Linked DNA regions of Diceros bicornis minor. The protein of the gene in region 3 interacts with the protein of the main gene of each other region in a biochemical or structural test. Links are inferred from orthologs where the notes say so. Each region holds a gene or a part of one and is shown on either strand. Other genes may lie near its edges.

What was found.
Region 1: of the proteins of EIF2AK2 (region 3) and EIF2A, one has a biochemical effect on the other in vitro, tested with the Homo sapiens proteins (4 studies listed by BioGRID, with this or other methods). The link is inferred for Diceros bicornis minor from reciprocal best matches to the Homo sapiens genes EIF2AK2 and EIF2A.
Region 2: the proteins of EIF2AK2 (region 3) and PRKRA form a complex in vitro, tested with the Homo sapiens proteins (3 studies listed by BioGRID and IntAct, with this or other methods). The link is inferred for Diceros bicornis minor from reciprocal best matches to the Homo sapiens genes EIF2AK2 and PRKRA.

The regions. Positions count from the first base shown.
Region 1 is NC_080741.1:4,579,166-4,586,563, reverse strand, and holds the start of EIF2A (eukaryotic translation initiation factor 2A), read left to right. Parts: upstream 1-4,358; 5' UTR 4,359-4,443; coding exon 4,444-4,471; intron 4,472-7,398. Other genes in the region: SERP1 (stress-associated endoplasmic reticulum protein 1), read right to left, coding at 2,209-2,249, 3,422-3,497, 3,727-3,810. UniProt on the Homo sapiens protein: Functions in the early steps of protein synthesis of a small number of specific mRNAs. Acts by directing the binding of methionyl-tRNAi to 40S ribosomal subunits.
Region 2 is NC_080749.1:58,885,601-58,892,704, forward strand, and holds the start of PRKRA (interferon-inducible double-stranded RNA-dependent protein kinase activator A), read right to left. Parts: upstream 3,004-7,104; 5' UTR 2,889-3,003; coding exon 2,824-2,888; intron 2,251-2,823; coding exon 2,081-2,250; intron 1-2,080. Other genes in the region: PJVK (pejvakin), read left to right, coding at 5,071-5,281, 6,028-6,223, 6,749-6,890. UniProt on the Homo sapiens protein: Activates EIF2AK2/PKR in the absence of double-stranded RNA (dsRNA), leading to phosphorylation of EIF2S1/EFI2-alpha and inhibition of translation and induction of apoptosis.
Region 3 is NC_080751.1:46,995,210-47,002,405, forward strand, and holds the start of EIF2AK2 (interferon-induced, double-stranded RNA-activated protein kinase), read left to right. Parts: upstream 1-4,179; 5' UTR 4,180-4,375; intron 4,376-7,196.

The DNA.
Region 1 (7,398 bases), on a different chromosome or scaffold from region 3:
AGAACTGTGCTTCTTCTTGACCCAGACTTGGATAACGAGATCAGGGTACAGCCTAGGTGGGAAAGTATTTAATTCATTGTGCTTTTTATGTATTTTTATTGCTACCTAGTCCCAGTTTTAACGTTAAATCTGTGCCTCTGGGAAGTATTTCTTTTAACTCAAGTACAACATACTACTACACATTCTTTAAAATCGTTTTCTATTAACTATAAAAAGCACTCTCAGATAAGAACTCTGTAAAATCATTTCCTTTTAGAAGGCATCAAATATTCACGGAACTTTATTTTTAAAGGATAAATCAAATAAGACATAGCTTTCATTGTCCCAAACATGCATAATCCATCCTTAATATAAAATGCGCTCAATTGGTAAATCACACATGAAATACAAAGGGAATGCAACTTTACATACGTAGAATGATGGCCAGCTATAGCAATTTAACAGTCAAATTAATACACTGTGTATTAAAAAAAAAAAAACCCAACATCTTAAAGCCAATTATAGTAAACCAAGGGAAATTCTGCCATGGAATGGTTTGACTCAACGCAAAGAATAAGGCACCTGCTATGAATTTACAGTAACTTTCATTTTTAAAGTTACAATAATATAGAATGTTAACTAAGACACTTGTTTCAAAGAGGGAAACAAGCACAAGGGTTGATTTCCTGGGTGAGAACGGCAGGTAACAATGCAGATACTGGCCCAAGGTCAGCTGACTCCTTTTCTATTCCAGAGTAGTCCAGTTCCTCAACATCCTTAACAGCTCCTCTCCCTCACTCCCCACACTCCGGGGTATCAGAGGCTCTCTCTGAGGTGCACACCCTGTGTAGACTAGGTAGCACATTTCCCTTCTGTTCCTCTTAAAATAGCTTATTTTAAAAGAGATATCCTGAGGCAATTAACAAAGCAAACAAGCAGCGTTCTTTCCAATTCATGAATGCACAGCCACCTCTCGGGCTTTCTCCATCACCATATGGCTAAGGATTTGCATGGCCGATGCCTGCAATTTTCAATAGTACCAGAAAACCCAAAACCTGCCTTATTACTCACCCTTACCATTAGTAAAAAGAAAGTTTGATCAATCATAACCTACAAAATCAAACAAAGGGAAGACTAAAGACTGACCCTTATCAGTAAATCCATTCAATTCCAGATGAGTCTGATCTACCTAGTACCCTAACAGAATTCTAATCATAAATCTAGAAAAAGCATTTCCAAACTAAGTCTCACTGTTTAGTAGATGTGCCCTTTTTTGGTATTAAAAGTGCTGTTAACATGCTAACATGTCTTATGGCACACTGGACTCAACAGTATGTCCTGACGAGGCATCCATTTTTAGTAGTATTTTCCCCTAAAATGTTGTCTAGCATAGTAGATCCCTCCTTGATATATTAAAGTAATTCTGGTGAAATCAATGGTGACATAAGCAAAGCTTCCCTGACTCAACTCCACCATGGTAGCTTTCAGCGACACTGAAGTGACTGATGAAGTTACAAAACGCTAAACCAAGCTGTTTTCTTATGGCATCTTAGGTTAGTATATTCCCTCATGCAAAATCCAAGGTAGTGTCATAGAAATAATATCATTAAAACAGATGTTGTAGCTATAAGCATCTCTCTTTAGGCATTTAGAAGCTTTTAAAAATTTTTAGGTGCTCAACATTGTGGGAAAACTAGGCTAACTGTGTAGTTGTTCCATTTATAAGCACTTTATTACAGGACAGTTACATGACCCTATATGGGAGTGTGCTTTCAATTCAAAATATAGTAATAAAGTGCCTAACTATATAAAAACCGTAAGATACCGAATTTTAAATTAAACTAATTGCATCTACACATTAGAGTTAACAAAATCTAGACCCTGTCTACACAGATTTAATCTAATTATCTACATTGTATACTGTTTTAATAACCACATTAAAAAAAACTTACTTTTTACTGACTGAATAAGTAGGGTCCACTACTGTAGCTTAACAATCACATTTTATTGCTTTATTCATGTGGTGCTTTTGCAAGGCACTGTGGTATGGACTAGAAAACTTGGAATGACTCGTGAAGAAACCTTGGAATGACACATGAAGGATGGTATGAAAAGTCATTCTGAGGCAGGATGCTTTACTGAATTGTTTTTTAACCAGGGTATCAAACATCAGGAACGAGTTCAAGTTAAAATTCACAGGAGAATGGAAACATCTTAAGGTCAGTCACTTCACATGCCCATCCTGATACTTTGAATAATCTGGAAAATTGCTGTAAAGAGAAAGAGCAAATATTAAAACATGCTTTGAATAAAACAGGTCTTGCAACTGACAAATATTTATTAAGGTACTTCAAGAATCCAAAAGTACCCTTACGATTACTGGCAAATGATCTGTATTTTCATTGTAGTAAGGAGTGAAAACAGGCCTGCCTGCCTTAATAAAACAATTAAACGTCTGCAAGTTATTTATTTTAAATCTCAGCTTCTCTGAATTTTGTCTACCTGTCCAAGAGAGTTGGCAAATAAGCCATCATTTTAGAAAGAACTTAAAGCATCCAAGCAAACGGGTTTTTCTAGCATAGAATTATTTTGGTTTATCCCTAAATATTAAATGTCCTTTGATGGCCTGGCCTATAATATACACTTGTTTCCTCATTCTCACAAAGCTGAAATTCAGTAATCTTTAGGTTATATAAATTGCTTGGCTCTTGGCCATTTATCAGGAAAGCTTCCAATTGGTAAGTTTAGGAGACAGGCAACATGGACTTCAATATCAACAACGTGCATATTAAGATAATAAAGGAAGAGGAAAGACATCTTGTAATCCATTTGCAGAGACAAGAGTCTATTACTCTAACAGCAAGCTGCCCTGATAACTAATTTTTCCTACCATATGTCAAACGTTTCTTTTATTAATCTAAAAACATTTGTCTCACACATTAAATTGCCAATCAGGTACGTTTCCTCTAGAATGAATCAATTCTTTGCACTAGCTTTAGTCTATAAATATACCCAATTTTGACATAAAGACGTTAGATTCTGGCACATGTAAAATTAAATTCAAACATCCATATGTGCACGATATCCCTCAGCCTCTTTTCTGCAAAGGCATTGATAGTGGGGGTTGCAAAGCATTCCAAATTCTCATTCCATGAGGTATTTTTGTTTTGGTCTAAATGTCTTCCAACTCGACCATTCCTAAGGCCCTGACCTCCTTTTCTGATCTCCTGTGAGCACAAATCAAACTGGGAGAAGTTTCTGGAGCACTGCCCTCTTGTACATATGTGGGACAAGTAATTTGGTTCAGACGGAACAGAATTATGTGGCGCTCCCGGCAGGTGGGTTGAGAACTCTGCGGGGAGGATTCACCACTGATGGGTCACCACGTCATCCCAACCCGTCACCCAACACCCTACCGGCGGGCAGCCCCCAAAACACTTACCAGAACCACAAACAACAAAAATGAAGAGAGCCAATAACCAGGGTCCTACAGACGCCTTCTCTTCGGGAGCATTTCTCTGCAAAAGGGAAAATCCGCAGTTTCAAATGCAAAACACCGCTGGGCCCCCGGGCTCCCGCCGCCGCCCCCGGGCCGGGTCGCCGGGTGCCCTCCCCTGCAGGTCTGCCCGCCCCTCCCGAGCCCCAGCGAGCGGCCGGCTCGCAGCCCGGGCCCCGGGTCGGCCGCTCCGGGAGCAGAGGGACGCGGCCCCGGCCCGGCCTGGGCGCCGCGGAGCGCGCGCCGCTCACCGAGGTCTTGGCGACGTTGCCGCGCTGGGTGATGTTCTTGCTGTGCTTCTCGTTGGCCATCCGGATCCGCTGCTTGGCGACCATCTTCGCGGCGCCGCGCCCGCCCGGCAGCCGGACTCCTCGCGCTCGCCCCGCTCGGCCGCTGCTGCGCTGCGCTCGGCTCCGGGGCCCGCGCCGCCGGGGCAGGAGGCTCTCGGGTGCGCGGTGCGGCCGCGGGCCTGGGCGGAGCGGGGGCCGCCGACCGACCGACGACGCCGACCGGCCGCCGAGCGAGGCTGGCGCGCGGCAGGAGGAGACGGGCCGCCGGGGACCCGCGCCGCCGCCGGGAGCGTGGAGGAAAGAGGAAGGGGACGGGAGCAACAACCGGACGGTGCAGCCCAGCGCCTCGAACTGCTTCGGGTTCGGCTGCCAACGTCAGCACCGGGCGGGCTCCGCCCCGCGGAAGGGCGGGCTGCGCCGGCCCGAGAGGAGGGAGAGGGCGGGCGCACGGGCCCCGGCCCGGCCCGCCCACGCTCTGAGAAGCGTCGCCCCGCCGCTGCGCCTGCGCGGCCCGGCTCCTTTTCCGCGGCGCTCTCCAACCGGAAGTGAATTGGCCCCGAGGCTGGTGGCCCCGGAAACGCCAATTCGCCGTCTCTAAGCGTGAGGAGACGTGTAGGGGACGGGTTCGGCCCTCGTGAACTCTGACCCGAGCGCACGGGTTTCTCTTTCCGGGACAAGATGGCGCCGTCCACGCCGCTTCTGACAGGTAAGTTGTGAATGAGCAAAGGACTGTTTCTTCAGCGCAGTTTCTTTTGTGTCCTTGCCCTTGGGGACTACCCGGGAAGCCTTGGAATCTGATCCGCGCTTTCTCGTGCATTGCGGCGGAGCCGAGGGCCTTCGGGCTTCTCCGTGTAGCGTGGCAGTCGGAAGTGAGGCCCCCTCGGGCTCCCGCATTCCCCCTCCCTTTTGCTCATCCGTCATTCTTCCCGGCCGCTTCCCGGATGGAGGAAGGAGGGTGATGACAGCAAGTGCCAGCTGAATTTGCTACCCTGGGTCTGTAGTACTGGAGTTACACGAACGCTTACCTGGTGACAGGCCTTGTTGAAGTCCTTTAGCTCTGTAGTAAGGAAAAAACAAGCGTATGACCCAGTTCACTAGAATGACCGACCACACGTTAAATACGCGTGAATTTAGGTAATACCAAACTCGGTACTCCTTGTTTAATGAAATTTGTAGGACTTAGTGGAGAGAGTGGAGCTGTGGTAGTGTAGGTTTCAGGTGATCAAAGTGTGTTTTGGGGTGGTAGCAGTGAGCATTATAGAGATAATCTGGCAACGTTTGGTGTTGAAGTGGTTATGAGCCTTATAGAATTAGAAATTAGAGGATTCCTGAGATTTTGAACCTGAGACAGAGTTTATAATGTTGAAGAAGGTGATAAATTTAGGCTTTCACAATGTCAGGGAAGACTGGACTAGGGTAATGGCTGAGTGTCTCATATATGAGTATGAAGTAAGGAGAGGGAAGTTGGGAGGGAAAAGAATAGAAGGCTTCAAGTCACTGATAACTTAACTTATATAGAAGGAAAAAGGAGTCAGTAAGAGAAAGATTGTCCACTTTTGAGGACTGGGGATTATTTCCCCTGAGACTTGGAAGGAAGAACCTTAACAAGCTTTCACACTTTTTGCCATTCTACGTTTTAAGGTCTTTGTTATCAAGCATCATGCCCACTCATATTCAATCCGGCTACCACAGTTCATTCATCAAACATTTATCAAATACTGACTATAATTTGTTAGATAATATGCCAGGCAGATACAGTTTAAAAGTCATAATTACATACTAGATGAGTTTTTTTCTCTAGGTTCATAAAGGTAGCTTGTATCTTATTCATAATTTTGAAACACTAAATGCTTATTTGAAGTCTAACAAAAAAAAATTAGTACATTTTAAAATCTGACTAATTTTCTCCCCTTTAAAAATCCTTACAGTGACTCCTTACAGGGTAGATTCCATCCTGTTTGGCATAGCAGGTGGAACCCTTTATAATCGTTGAATAGCTCTTAATATTCATTTATTTCCTTGCCACCCCATCCTATTTTGTGCTCCATCGATATTGAACTGCTTATAAAGTCCTTGAACAACCTATTTCTTCAGTCTAGGACTGTTGCTCTTGGTTTGGCTAACTTCTTTCATCTTTTAAAATTCATTTCAGACATTATTGGTTTGTGAAGCCTTTCCTCACTCTTCCCAGGTAGTCACTCCCCAGGCTATTTTCATAGCTTGTATATACTTGTTTTTTTTTTTTCCCCCCACTCGTCACATAGGATAACTACCTAGTTGTTTAGATGCTTTTCTCCCCTGCTAGACTGAACTCCTTGATGGCAGAGGTAGGGTCTTATTCATCCCTGCCTTCTCAGTACCAAGTACAGTGCCTGTTAAACAATAAACACTCTAAATGATTAATGGAGGAATAAATTAATGAAAGATAACCACTTCATTCATAGTCAAATTAACCAAGAATGACAATTTTTCTTACAATGCTTAAAATCAAGGACTTTGTAAGCGTTTAAAGGAATCATATAGTCTCAATACACTGCATTAAGCTGTCTCCACATTCTATTCACTGTTTTGCATTCAGTCCCTTCTAATTAAAATGAATTCCTAATTAGAAAGTCATATGTAGAAAAAATTGTTGCAGTTATTGAAAAGATTTTGTTTTGAGTCCATATTTATTTTTGCTTTTTATTAACTTGTAATACAGTTTATGTTTTGTTATGAACCTGATTTTGTGTTCCTTCTAATAAACTTTGTATATCCATTTATTAAAATTTGTGTAAGAAATTGCTCAAACTAATTAAATCCAATAAAGCATCTTAGTGGCTCCAAAATGTCTTGCCATACTTTCTCACAGTTATGCTTCTCTGTAGGGAGATGTGAAATAAAACATTCGTTTAATTTTTTTTTTATTTTATTTATTTATTTTTTTTCCCCCAAAGCCCCAGTAGATAGTTGTATGTCATAGTTGCACATCCTTCTAGTTGCTGTATGTGGGACGCGGCCTCAGCATGGCCGGAGAAGCGGTGCGTCGGTGCGCGCCTGGGATCCGAACCCGGGCCACCAGCAGCAGAGTGCGCGCACTTAACCGCTAAGCCACCGGGCCAGCCCCTAATTTTTTTTTTTGTGAGGAAGATCAGCCCTGAGCTAACATCCATGCCAATTCTCCTCTTTTTGCTGAGGAAGACCGGCTCTGAGCTAACATCTATTGCCAATCCTCCTCCTTTTTCTTTTTCACCTTTTCTCCCCAAAGCCCCAGTAGATAGTTGTATGTCATAGCTGCACATCCTTCTAGTTGCTGTATGTGGGACGCCGCCTCTGCATGGCCAGACAAGCGGTGTGTCGGTGTGCGCCTGGGATCCCAACCCGGGCTGCCAGTAGTGGAGTGCGCGCACTTAACCACTAAGCCACGGGGCCGGCCCCAAAATATTTGTTTTAAATAGTAGTTTATATGTATGGACAAAAGTACAATGACGTCATACAATTTTTATGATGAATTCAACTGATAATTAGTTCCCCTAAAATAGACATAGCTATCGTAAAGGACCAACAGTGTCATCAGTCTTTAAAGTAGCTTTGATGTGTACTTTTGTCTGATGGAATGTGTTTTTAACTTAGTACAGAAATCTTGGTCTATTC
Region 2 (7,104 bases), on a different chromosome or scaffold from region 3:
ATGGAGTAGTATGTGTTACGACAGGCCTCAGTGCAGGCTGTAGGAGGCACATGAAAGGCGCAGCTCCCGACTCTTGGGAAGGATTCAGAAAGGTTTCAAGAAGGAAGAGGTAACTAAATGGAGACCTGAAAGATCAGTAAAAGCTAGCAGAGTGAAGAGAGCTGGGGGTTTGGAAGAGCATTCTAGACAGAGAAAAGACCCCTGCCAAGGCTCAGAGGCAACACAGAGCAGGGTGTGCTCAAGAGCCCCAAGTAGGTGGGTACAGTAAGAGCCCAAGGGGAGGAATTTTCAGATAAAAGGCGAGAGAGTTGGACGGGAGAGGGAGAGATTAAGGAATAGTATCCTAAATTTGTGTTTCTCAAATTTAACGTGCATAGGAATTGCCTGGGAATTTTGTTAAAATGCATACTCTGATCCAGTAGGTCTGGCATGGGGCCTGATATTCTGCATTTCCATCATGTGCCCAGGTGATATCAAGGCTGCTGTTGATCACATTTTGAGAAACAAGGTTGTAAGTCATGTTAAGAAATTTGTATTTGTCCAGAGGTTGATGGGAAACCACTGACTGGATTTTAAGAAGAGAAAGTACATGAACAGATGTGGACGCCAGAGAGAACACTCTGGTTGTCCTGTGGAGAATGGACATCACAAGACTAGAAGCTGAAAGAGCAGCTACAAGACTGTAGCTATATTCCAAGTGGGAGATGACAGTGGCCCAGACGGTAGCAATGGGAAAACGAGAGAAGCAGACAGATGCAAGAGATATTTAGGAAGTAGGAGATGGTGACAGTCTGGACAAGGAGAAGGAGTCAAGAAGATGAAATACAGATTTCTACTGTGAGAAAATCAGTGGTGGTGGTGCCTTTACTGGGTTGGGGAATGGATGTGAGAAAAAAGAAGATGGATTCAGTTTGGGACAATGAGAGACTGAGGTGCCTTTAGGTCATCCTAACAAAGATGCCCAGCAAGCACAGGCTGATACACTGTTCTGTAACTGGGCCTGGGCTGAAGATAGAGATTTCAGAATTATCGGCCTTTAGATAGTATTTGAAGCTGTGGAGGCAGATAAGCTTGCACAGGAAGACAGGGCAGTGTGAGAAGGGTAGGGGGCCAAGGCAGAATGGTTACCATAGATTGTTAGGCTCCAGTCTAAAACACACTGAGGGAAAAAAGGCTACTTTTTCTTGAATTTTCACTGAACACTTAAAAATAGACCAGCTAAAGCACTAATGCAATGCTGATTCTATGGTTCATATGAGGAAACTTCCAGCTGGCACCTACAATCCACCTGCCTCATATAAACAAAAAAGCTTCAAAATTTTCTTAAAGTGGCTTCAATGAAAATAGCGGACTCCAGCTTTTCAGGGACACAAACAAATGACGGCCTCAGATGACCAGATGGTAGAACTTCAGCCTTCCTGCTGAATTTTTTTCTTGGCATTATTCCAAATTAAATTTAGTATTCAATATTTTTTATGTTTCAATTAAATAAGATACCTAAGAAATAAAATGTCTACATTTACAAACGGGCAACTTCAGTTGTCAGTTGCTCAAGTTCACAGACCATAATAAAGTTGAGTTTGAACTCTGAAACTTCGATGCTATGTGACTTTGGGCACATTACTTATGATCTCTCTGAACCTGTTTCCTCATGTATAAAAAAGAGATAACGTATTAAATATCTGTATAGTATCAGGAACTAGAAGATGCTATGCAATATAGTGTAGTTGAGCCTTCTGCCTTCCTCATTTTGCTTGGATACAGAATCGAGTGTGGTGCAAGGGGCCCAAAGTGCCTAGTGAGTCTAAGAACCTTTCCTGCTTCTCCCTAATTCTAGGAAGAACCATAGGAGAGTCCTAAGGTATGTTTCTGAGCTTGTCTTGGTATCTGGGGAAGAGAAAATTAGGGAGAGAATCAGATGAACTTGGAAAGTTCCAATGACCTGAGATGAGAGCTCTCAGTTTCAAGAGGCTGCTCCTCACCACTGTCTCAGGTAAAAAGGGCACTTTTCCGAACTGCAAAGCAATACCAAGTCTTGACCGCCAACCCGCCTGGTCATCTAGGTTAACTGCATACAGACCTGTGCAGGTTATGTCACCAACGGTTACTCTGAAGGTGAAAGTGGGCACGTGTATTTGCACATCCGATCTTTCACATTCATAAACCGGGATGTTCTTGGTCTTCATGCCGTATTCGTGTAATACCTGAATCGGTGTTTTCCCTGGCTTAGCTGTAATCATCTTCCCCAAACTGCAAAAACCAGAAAAAGGTGTGCTTTGCATGCCAAAGCGGAGAGGGAGGCAGAAGCAGACAGGGGCTAGTTCTGATCGTTATCCACGGTGACGCGGGAGGAGCCGAAGGTCCCAGGCGGCCAGGGCCCGAGCTGGCGAGGCGCACCAGCCTCCCTGCCCCGCTGCGGCGGGCACCGGGCAGCGGCGGGCAGGGCGAGGGAGGTCTTTAGGGGGCTAACTCGAATGCGCGAAGGAGGGATTCGTAGCAGAATAGGGCAGGCACCGGCGCTGCGACCTCTGAGGACCAAGCCCACAAATGCCTTTCTCAGGGTGGCGGCCGCGCGCCACCTCCGCCCAGCCCGCGCACCGCCCGGGGCCGCAGGAGGGGCGGGGCCCGGCCGCAGACCCCGGCCCGCGCGCCGCCGAGAGGGCGGGACCGAGCGCCCGCCGGTCCGCCCGCAGCTGCGGGGGCGAAAGCGCCGCGAAGGGGCTTTACCCAGAATGCCGCTGGAGAGCCGGCTCCCCCGCCCCCGCGTCTCTTGCCCACCACTCCCGGCCCTGCCGGCTCGGCCTCGACTGCCCCGGCGCTGACCTGAAGGTCCCGCTGTCCTGGCGCTCCAGTGGTGGGGCCGCGGCGCGATGCCTGCTCTGGGACATGGCGAGAAGGGACGGCTCGGCGGCCGGAGGAAGAGCAGTGCGTGGCGACGTGCTGGCTCCCCCGGTCGGCCGGTCCCCGAGAGAAGCGCTCCAGCGCCACCGCCGCCGCCTCCCCTCCTCCCACTCCTCCTCTCCTCCCGCTTGCGTCCCTCTCGCGAAGGGGACGGGCGGGGGGGGAGGCGGAGCCTCGGTGTGGCAGTGCCCGCCCCGGCTCCCGGCCACGCCCCCTCGCCGCCCTGGCTGCGGGCCCTTCTCCGTGCCCGGCCCCGCCCACCGGCTCAGGGTCTCTCCGGCTCCGGCCCCGCCCTCCCCTCCAGACCCCGCCCTCCCCTCCAGACCCCTTGGCCTCCCCGCCCCGGCTGTCCTCAGCTCCTGCCCGCGGCCCTCCCTTCGGTGCGCCGGCTTATCGGCGCCTGGCCCGGCAAGGCCGTAGTTCTGTGTCCTTAAAAGGAGGGCGTTTCTTGCCCGGAGAGAAGGCTTGTCCGGCGGGCGAGCCTCACAGTGTGTGAGGCCTGAAGCTTAGACCTTTTTTTTTGGCGGGGGAGTTAGGGCGTAGGATGAGGGCTGCGTCACTTTAAGAAAAAGATTTCAAAATTCCAAATGCAAAATTGCTAGAGACACTCCCCGGGCCTGGCCCCGAAGCTTGAAACTGGCGGAATATCCGCTCCTGAGGGCTGCGGTGGCCCTCAGGAGCTTTAGGAGCTCGCGAGGACATCTGAGACCCCACTCCTCTCCCGCCAGGTGGGCTCCATTGTCTTCTAGGTTTTGGTCGCGAGAAGAATGCTGAGCCACCGGATCCCTACAAGACATATTACGTGTAGACGAAGGCTTCTTATGGTACCTGATTCCAATTAAATGTTGTTTCTGCACACCTGTGTTGTTGGTTGTAATGGCGTTTGCCTGGGATGCACCACTTTTGGTGGAGGTCAGACAGCGACATTAGATGTATCGCTTTTCTAGGGGTTTGCTAGCCACTTGCAGAAATCACTTCGTGTGCTTTCTCGGTGTTCTGGAAGATTGCTTTGCCCAATGGTATTGGCAGGAGGGGCTATTATTAAAAACTTTTTTTTTTTTGGTTGCACGTGAGCCCTGGATGCTTGAAAGTAAATGAAAAAAATGTCTAGAATCTAGTAAAATTGATTTATATTATTTGAGGCTGGAATTAAGCCTATTCTCTCTTCCTCCCCCTACCCCCTCAATATGTGTATGTATGTCGATTACTACCCACTAATGTTATGTTTTAACAAATATCTTATTTTAAGTACCACATAGCCACTATTTCAAAATATATTAACATCCACATAACTATGGCAATACATTATTTCAGCACTCAGGTTTGTTTCTAAAATTTGTTTTTATCCACAAAATTCCTTTAAAAACAAGCCAAAACCTTATATAGCTCTTTTTAAAGGTTGAGTAACTGGGATAATAATCATGAAACAAAAAGAAAATAAATGCAGCAGGACCCCGTTTCAAAGAGATGTTGTCTATGTGCCAGCTTCAGAGTAAGAAACCCAAATGTCAGTATACAGTTATGTAATGCGGCTTTCATTTAGTATTTTACAAAGATCTGCATACAATTGTTTCCTTATATTCTATGAATTTATATTTTATATTAATCACTTGGTTTTGTAAGCATACAGGGAAAATGAATGAAATGCTCAAACAGTGAACTGTATACCATAAGGATTCCAAACAGCACTTTTCTGTTGCCAAAATTGGCATGATGGAGTTGTAAAGGAGTTCCCTTTGGACTAGGTCCACTGTAGATGGTGTCCAGGGCTAATGTTAGTGCCTAAATTGCATCGTTCCCCATAGGGCTATATGCTTCCCTCAAGACTGGCAAACCACTATCAACTGTGACCCTCATCAAAGACATTGGTAATGTAATTATTAGTTTTCTGTGTATTTTAGTGCTATAGACTGCAATTCCAAATTAGACTTGCTTTTAGTATATCATTTTACACCGTTGATCTATAATTCATTACCTGAGCACGCCAGGGGAGGCGGTGTGTGTGGATTGTACACTGGTAAACTACTTGGTGAAACTATACTTTGTATTTTTAGCAGGTATAATTATATTTAAAGTCAAGCAAGGCTTAGTTTTGTGCCTGATTTTCTTTGAAAATATGGATTTCTTATCTGAGGGTTGCAGTTGATGATGTTTTAATACTATGTTAATATGTTTGCTGCTGCTACCAAGAGCTTTGTCAAACAAGTTGGAGATGGAGGGAGATTAGTTCCTGTTCCAAGCCTCAGTGAGGCTGACAAATACCAACCTCTAAGTCTGGTGGTAAAAAAAAAGCGATGCTTTCTGTTTCCTAGATATAAATTTACCTCAACACCTTTTACACTGAAAGATGTTCTTCTAGGAGACAGAGAAATTTCAGCTGGTAAGTTTAAATGTCTGTTTGGGAGGGACTAATTCAGCTATATTATTGGTGATCTAAACATAGATTGTATATACTACTTATGTTCCTAATATTGACACATTTTCATTGATAAAAATAACTTTTATTACTATGGCAGTAATAATACTAAGATTAACAATGCCTAAAGTTTATACAGTATCACATCTCTTATTAGTTGAATAATTTTCAAACCTATTTTGTAGGATTATTGTATAATCTTATTTTAATTATTTTGTAAATTGTTTTAACCAAATCAACTTAGAATATGACATAATATAATTCTTCATCTATAATATGGGGTATTGTTTACTCTTACCTATCTCACATGATCAAATGAAATGAAAGTAATTTGCATTTATTTTTTTATGATTCAGTTATTACAGTTGATAAAGTGAAATGTATTAGAGGCTGGATTAGAAAATAAATTGACATTTTGACAAATTATTTCTTATAAAAACTTGGTGTTCTTTCAACCGCCCATTGGATCTTGATGCCTAAGAAGTTCTGTTGGCTGAACATAGAATTGAGTTCATTTTAAGTACTCTGGCTATTTATTTCTTTTTGTTGTCAAATTAATTAAATTGCTATTTTTAATTTTGGTTTGAAATGTTGCCTTCCTCCACATTTGAGTAATGGAGTCTTAAATAGAAAATTAACGTGTTACTATATGTAATCTACGTTAGATGAATTCAAGACATTTAAAAAATATTAATTTCCTTTTCTTAAAGGTATTTCGTCTTATCAGTTACTGAATTATGAAGATGAATCAGATGTCTCACTCTACGGAAGGAGAGGCAACCATATTGTGAATGATGTTGGGATTAACGTTGCTGGATCAGATTCCATTGCTGTAAAAGCTTCGTTTGGTGTAGTAACCAAACACGAAGTGGAAGTATCAACGTTACTCAAGGAGATCACTACACGGTCAGTATAATAATCCTTAATATACTTCACTGTTTTCATTAAATATTTTAATTACGTAAACTTCATTACAAAGAATGCTTAAAACATTCAGGTTGTATTTTACTAATGTAATTTATTTGTTTGATTTGTTTGAAATATTACAAATTAGTAATATATGCAAACTTTGGTAGATATCCACAATCATTTGGTTTAAACAGAATTTTTAATTGTTCCACAAAATGGCTTTGGCTCTGCACGCATTTGCTAAATTATTGGATTGAAAGAATATAGGAATCTGCTTGCAACAAATATAAGAGAGTCTCCTCCAATACACTCCTATAACAAGCATGTTTTAAGAAAATAGAAAGGAAAAGCAGATTATTAAATGTCTTTTGAGCTTACTTTCTGATTTGTATTAGGCCTGCCTTGATTTACTTTTAGTTAAGGTGGACTGTGCATGAGTAACACCTGATAGCAAAAACTGTATTTGATTATATGTAATTAGATGTTACAGATTCTTGTGAACGTCTCTCTTCTTCATTTTAGAAAAATTAATTTTGACCATAGCTTGATACGTCAGTCAAGGAGCAGCAGAAAGGCGGTATTGTGTGTGGTCATGGAGAGCATTCGAACCACACGACAATGCTCACTGTCTGTGCATGCTGGCATTCGTGGGGAAGCCATGCGGGTAAACCACACTCATTGGGCTTCTCTTACTAAAAAGCTGCAATGGGAATTTTTAAAAAGTATTCAATTTCTAATGAGATGTGTATTTTGTCAAATGTTGAGATTCAAGAGCTGCAGTTGTATATAGGATTTTCCACAGTAATGGTTTGTTTTAGAATATGAAAAAAATCCAAGAAAATTTGGATTCTAAACATGTATAGTATAATGCAAACAAA
Region 3 (7,196 bases):
TACAAATGAAAGAAGAGACATTACAACTGATAACATAGAAATACTAAGGATTGTTAGAAACTACTATGAACAATTATATGCCAACAAATTAGATAACCTAGGAGAAATGGATAAATTCCTAGAAACATACCACCTACCAAGACTGAATAATGAAGAAACAGGAAATCTGAACAGACCAATTACTAATAAAGAGATTGAATCAGTAATCAAAAACCTCCCAGCAATGAAAAGTCCATGATCAGGTGGTTTCACTGATGAATTCTACCAAACATGTAAAGAATTAATACCAATCCTTCTCAAAATCTTCCCAAAAATTGAAGAGGAGGAAACACTTCCAACCTCATTTAATGAAGCCAGCATTACCCTGATACCAAAGCCAGACAAGGGTACTACAAGAAAAGAAAATTATAGTCAATATCTCTGTTGAACATACATGCAAAAATCCTTAACAAAATATTAGCAAACCAAATTCAACAATACATTAAAAGGATCATACACCAGGGTCAAGTGGGATTCATTCCAGGGATGCAAGGATGGTAGAACATATGTGAATCAATAAATGTGATACACCACATTAACAAAATGAAGGATAAAAATCATATGATAATCTCAACAGATGCAGAAAAGGCATTTGACAAAATTCAACATCTTTCATGATAAAAACTCTAAACAAAGTACATCATTGTGTTTCTAGCACAGTGCTGCACATAGTAGGCACTCAATAAATATTTATTGAATAAATTAATGAGATTTTTTTTCCAAGAAGGTTTTTTTAGAATATCAGATCAGTTAGGATGCTTTTGATGCAGCAAACAGAAAATCAAACACAAATTGGTTTATAGTAGAAAGGAAAAGAGGTAGAGGGCTCTTATCACTGACCAGTCTAGGATGAGTCTGGCTTCAGGTGAGGCTTGATCCAGAGCTCAAGCAAGGATCTGATTCTTAATCTTCACTTCTCAACTTTATTCCCTCAGCGTAGGCTCCATTTTCAGGGCGGTTTCTCCTTGTTCAGTACTAGAAACAGAAACCACTGTAAGTATGTCAAGCAGAAAGATTTAGTAGGAAATGAACACATAATTGTTAGAAGGGATGGCAGAATGGAAATCAGGAGACTTCCAGTGTAGCTGCCATCCAAAGTTCAAGACCCTGCCACTGCCACTGCTGCCATCACTGCTGCCACCACAGATGCCCCATACCCTTGGAGAACTGAGAAGGGTAGCTGGAGTCCTGCTCCTGCAAACACCCCTGGGCCTGAGAGCTTGCCTGTCAGCCCGTTCTGTCACAGAAAGATGGCCTTCTCTTCCTTTCTGTCTTCCAAATCTTGCACCACTGCTCATCAGTCATTGGCAGAATTCAAATTATATCTCGAATTTTAACTCCCTAGAAATCTGGAAAATGTGGTTTTAACCTTCCACACATTATAACCCAGGAGATGAGGAGACACAGAAGGGAGTGAGAATGGAAACTAAATAAAAATTAACAGTATCTAATATAGTCCACCCCTTTTACCAATAATCTTTCAAGCAAATGACAAAACTATTCTCCCACCTAATGAAGCTGTTCCCTCCTTCAAATGAAAACATGCTTATCCTATCCCCTAAATCTCGATACTCATTTCTACATGATGTCCCTTCCTCTTCTATTTTAGTCACAATCCCACCTTCAAACACTCTTACCTAAAGACTATCTTATAAAATGAACCACCATCAACAAATCTCATGTAAAAGGAAAGGGAAAAACAATCAAAAGAAGTTCATTAATACATATAAAAACAAAGCAGGAAGAAAAAATGTGTAGGTTCTATGGTCCTTTATTCTTCAACTGGTCATGAGACCATAGTCAGTTATAACTTCCTTATTTATTGTTCCCTTTGCCCTCACACACCTGCCCAGCTGGTAGAGTGACACAAACCTTCAATCCTGAAGCATCTGAGCCCTTAACAGTCTGGCCTGTGTTGGACAGCTGTAGATTTCCACTAACATTTATCATTGAACATGGAATTACTAAAAAGAACCTCAGAGAAACCCCTGGTTTGAAGACATACTCGTCCCTGACAGCACTGTGGCTGCATCACTATTTTCTCTTGGTAATTCGTATCAGTCAGCCCAGCCAGTTTGGTAACCCCCTTATTTTCCTTTTTTTTTTTTAATTATTTATTTATTTATTTATTTCCCCCCCCTCAAAGCCCCAGTAGCTAGTTGTATGTCATAGTTGCACATCCTTCTAGTTGCTGCATGTGGGACACGGCCTCAGCATGGCCGGAGAAGCAGTGTGTCGGTGCGCGCCCGGGATCCGAACCTGGGCCGCCAGCAGCGGAGCACGTGCACTTAACCACTAAGCCACAGGGCTGGCCCAACCCCCTTATTTTCTTGATGGCTTGATGGCATGATGAACCTGCAACATCCAGAAGCAGTTTCACCCACATCATTTTCCCCAGACCTCCGTGTCACCAACCCTCTGATCTTGTTCCTTCCAAATCTCTGAATATCCAGCTAAATTGCTAGCCACTGGTTCTGTCCAAGCCACTGGCTTTCTCTCCTTCCAAGTGACAACTAAATGTACTGCTCAAAGTTTTGCCCACTGGGAGGATTGCCTTTCTCCCACTATCTTTTAGGGCCACCTCCCAGAGGGGCTATAGTAATACATCAATCCACTTCTGATTAATGCCAGTGTATTGTGCTTCATTCAGATTTTTCTTTCTCAATCATCTGGCCACAGGCAACTCCACATGAGTTCACAGATGCGGGCTGATAGAGCAGGAGGGAGTGCCATGGGGATCTTAGATATTGCCATAATCACCACTGAAATCAGGGAGCTTTTTTCAATGGCAGCATCTCCCATAGACATTCCCCACCTACAGTGGCTGCCCAAGGACGCTGATGTTCCCCACTCCAATGTATTTCTCAACGAGTGGTGCAGGAGGGTCCTCTGGATCTTCTTGGGGGACATAGATAGGGAGTGAATGAATAGGTTACACACGATTAAAGATGGCTCTGCCTCCTGCCTGCCTTCCAAACCTCCCACCAGTGCTTCACATTTTGGGAGCTTAAATCATGCCCCAGGACCTGAGTGCTTCAAGGGAAATATAGTTTTTAGCCATTGATACTCTGCAATAGCAGAGAATATAGCAGAGAAGTAGGAAAGGATGCCCAGAGCTAGTGCCCAACAGTTAATGTATAGTTGAGGTCCATCCCGGGACCACCTCTCTCCCTCACCTCAGCTAAGATGTTGAGGGTGCTGACTCCTGGTTCTAAATCTAGCTCTGCCGCTTACTAGCTGTGTTAGTTAACTTCTCTGAGCCTCAGGCCTCAATTTTCTCATCTGTTAAATGGGCATAGTAACAGCACCTACCTTGCAGTATTGTTGTGAGCTAAGTCCTCAGACTCCTCAATCGCTGTGTCAGTGAGCCAGTATTACTGTGGGAGTGTGTCATAGTCCATTAGGTGAGTAGGATTTCTTAAAAACCGAGGACTACTGGTAAAGTCTTTGGTCGTAAACTCCATGAGGTGCCGCAGGGAGCAGGTGGCTTGCGTAACTGCTGGCCTGGGCGGTACTTGGTACAGCGGCTGGCAAGTAACTGGATGGATGGGTGGATACAGATTGAAGAAAGATTATGCCCTCTGGCCTCTTCATCCCCAGCCTTGTCAATGTGACGACAGGGAGGGGTGCTTTGATGTGCAGGGCCCTTCAATGGAATCCTGGCTTTGCCACTTTCCAGAGTCAGGACCCTGGGTGAGATAATTGACTCAGTTTCTGCTACTGTAAAATGGAGCCGATCATATCCACATCCCCAATCCCACCTCAAAGGTTTGCGTTGAAGAGGAAAGGGGATCGTTGATCCCAGAGCCCAGTTCAGCGAGCGAGCGCCTGGGGTGTCCTCCTCACCCTTGCCGGCACAGGGGCCAGTTACAACCCCAGACGCCGGGGTGGGGGCCGCCGGGTCCCGGGCACGTGGGCGCCGAGCCCGCCCCGCGGCCCGGGGCCAGTGCGGGCCTGTGCGGGAGGGGCGGGCGGCCGCAGCGGGAGGCGGAGTCCGCCGGGAAAACGAAACCGAGAGCGAGCGGCGCCGCTCCGGCCGGGCTTCCGCGGACAGCAGCGGCGCGGGTGAGCGGGCGGCAGCGGCGCGGGTGAGCGGGCGGCAGCGGCTGAGCGGGCGGCAGCGGCGCGGGTGAGCGGGCAGCGCCGGGGGCCGAGCGCGCGCCGTCCGCATCCCCAGACGCGTCCTGCGCGCCGGTGAGAGGCCCCCGACCCCCACCCGCAGCGCGCTCCGAGGCCCGCAGCCGAGGTGCAGGGCCCGTCCCGGATCTGGGCACCGGATCGTGCGGGGCAGTGGGAACCGAGAGCCGTTATCGTCCCGCGAAGCATTTTTATCCGAGTAAGTGACGAATAGCCCAGGCCCGGGTTGGGGGCGGGGGGGCTGGTGGAAAACAGATACGCCCTCTAACTTGACAGACAGATGGAAAATATGGAGGCCTGAATTACCCCCAAATTGCCTAAATAATCCCTAGCCAAAAATCTCTGGCCTGAACAGTAGCACTTGTCTCGCCATTCCCGGCCTTAGCCCCCGCCCGTTTCTGTAACCCGGCCCCCCAACACCGCAGCGGCCGGAGCGTTCCTGTAAAGCAGAACAGGACACTCCCCGGCTCACACCTCCCCAATAGCTTGCCATCTCGTCAGAATCCTATAAACGGTTATCGGCCCACAGGCAAGGCTCCTTGCTCCCTCCACTCTGACCACACAGGCCTCATTGCTGTTCTTGGGGTACAGCCAAGCACACTCCTGCCGCTGCGCCTTCGCACTGTCTGTTTCTTCTTCCCGGAAAGCTCTTCCCCCGGATGCCTGCAGGAGCCAGTCCCCCGCTCTAACCTGCGCTTCTTCCAGTGTCGCTTTATCAGAGCAGCCTTCCCTGAACCACCTGCATATAAAAGAAACCCCACCCTTCCCTCGCTGTCCCCGTTGCTCTGCTTTGGTTTTCAGCATGGTACTTAGCACCCTGTAGCATTTTTTATAGGCTTGTCCGTGTTCCTCCACTCGTAAATTCACAAGAGCAGGGTTTTGTTCGCTGGTATAATCCCGGCACCTAGTACATCACAGATGCTCATTAAATATTTATTTAATGAATGGCAATTCATAAATTGTCTTTTGAATTCTGGATTAGTGAGACTTCCTATTGCCTGTGATTTCTTTAGTATAAAGATACCTTGCCAGGTGGAAGCTAAAGGTGCACTCCCTGCTGTCACTCAGGAACCTAGAATCTTGGGCAGGTTATACTCTTGTTCTTCAGTTTGCTTATTTGAACCTGAAGATCCATAACACTCGACCTGTAGTTTATTCATCTCACTAATCAGGTACCGGTGGAATGTGTGTTGTATGCCAAGCATTGTGTAGGCCCTGGAGGGGCTGAGCCCCAGGGGGCTGCAGTCTGGCAGAAGGGATCAAGACTCCCAGCCAAAGTGGCTTCTGGGCATGAGTAAGATGGACATATAACACTTGTTTGTGATTATGGTGATTTCTTTTAGGAACATGGTAACACAGAATTAAAACAAGATTTATTTAAAATAGTTGAAAAGAAACCTACTGTTTCTTTTCTTCCAAACTTGTAAGTACTTTTTCAAACATACCAATTCAGCACCTTATTAGTTTACACATATATTTCACTTAGAGTCAGACTGGCTTGTCATTCTGATGATCAGCAGTTACTTAGAGTTAAAAGTGCTGAGGATTTAGAGCATTCGATAGGTCTTCAGGTTAAATAATTGCTAAGGACTCTTCCATAACTGCTGTTCTGAGATCTGTGACCCCCTCCAATTTGGTGTATGGTCTCATTGTTGTGACTAAACTGAATGACACTTTGGTTCCTGAAAATAATGGTGGTCTACGGAGCCTTATCTGAAACTCTTGGGTCAGGTATGTTCCTGTATTGAGAGATTTTTGGATTTTAGAAAGGCAGGGCAGCATAAATCCTATCTATTATATGATATTCTCAGCAGGATTTGGGGGCAACACTCTATAATAAAACACATTTCTGCAGGGAAGTGTATAGATAGACAACAAAGTATCATAAAGACTCTAAATAGCTCCTGTCAGTTCAGGTCTAGACAGGGGACTACAAACCCACTATAAACAAAATAAACCTCAGTTTATAGTGCTTTTTGGATTTCGAAATTATAGACCAGGAGCACCATTTATTGAAGCCAATGGTGTGGGGGACTCTGCTGGATGCTTTTCATCTGATTTACTCCTTGCAACAACCTGTGAATCACGTTTTCAGGTCACTAATCAAAGGTCCAGAGAGGATTTAGCCCAGGTCTGTGTGGCTCTAAAGCCTGACTCAGTCCACCACACTAGGCAGGAATGTGAAGGCGTTGCCTTTGCTCGGACTCCTGGCACTTCCAGACCCTGCTTCCAGCCACCACTGTTGCTCACCCAACCTCTGCAGCAGCCTCTACATGGTCTCCCTCCTTCTACTCATGCTCTGCTCCCCTTTCCACACCCAGCCCCGCATACTCTGTTCTTTACAAACATCAGTCATCGTTTAAAACATAAACCCAGTCACATCAGCCCTCTGTTTAGATCCCTCCAATAGCTTCCTATTGCAATTGGAGTAACATCCACAGTCCTGACCGTGACCTACAAGGTCTCTGTGCCGTGGCACCTGCCTGCCTTTCTGATTCATGTCCTACCCTTTCCTCCTCGTTACCTGTGCAGCACATCCCCTTGGCCTTTTTGTTATCCTTCCAAATGCTATGCCGGTTCCTGCCTCAGTGTTTCCTCTGCCTAAGATACTCTCCCCCAGATCTTGGTATGATGGACTCGCTCATCATTCAGGCTTGATTTCAGTGTTGCCTCCTAAGAAGGGTTTCCCCTGACCACTGTATCTAAAACCACTTCCCTCATATCTCTGCGCCCACCTACCAATGCACCCTCTATCCTGCACCCCTATTTAATTTCATCCTTCTGGTCATCCTCTCATCCTCTCCTTTGTTTGTTACTGGACGTGGTCATTTTCTTTCTTCCCTCGTTGGAATGCAGGTAGGGACTTGTTCACGTCTGTATACTCAATGTCAGAACAGTGCCTGACATTCGATGAGCATTTATTGAATGAGTGATGAAAGGATGCAAAGAAAACAGCAGATGAAGAAAAGGGAGAAGGTGAGGAGGTTTAAAGTGGAATATTTAATTTTAATGAATCATTT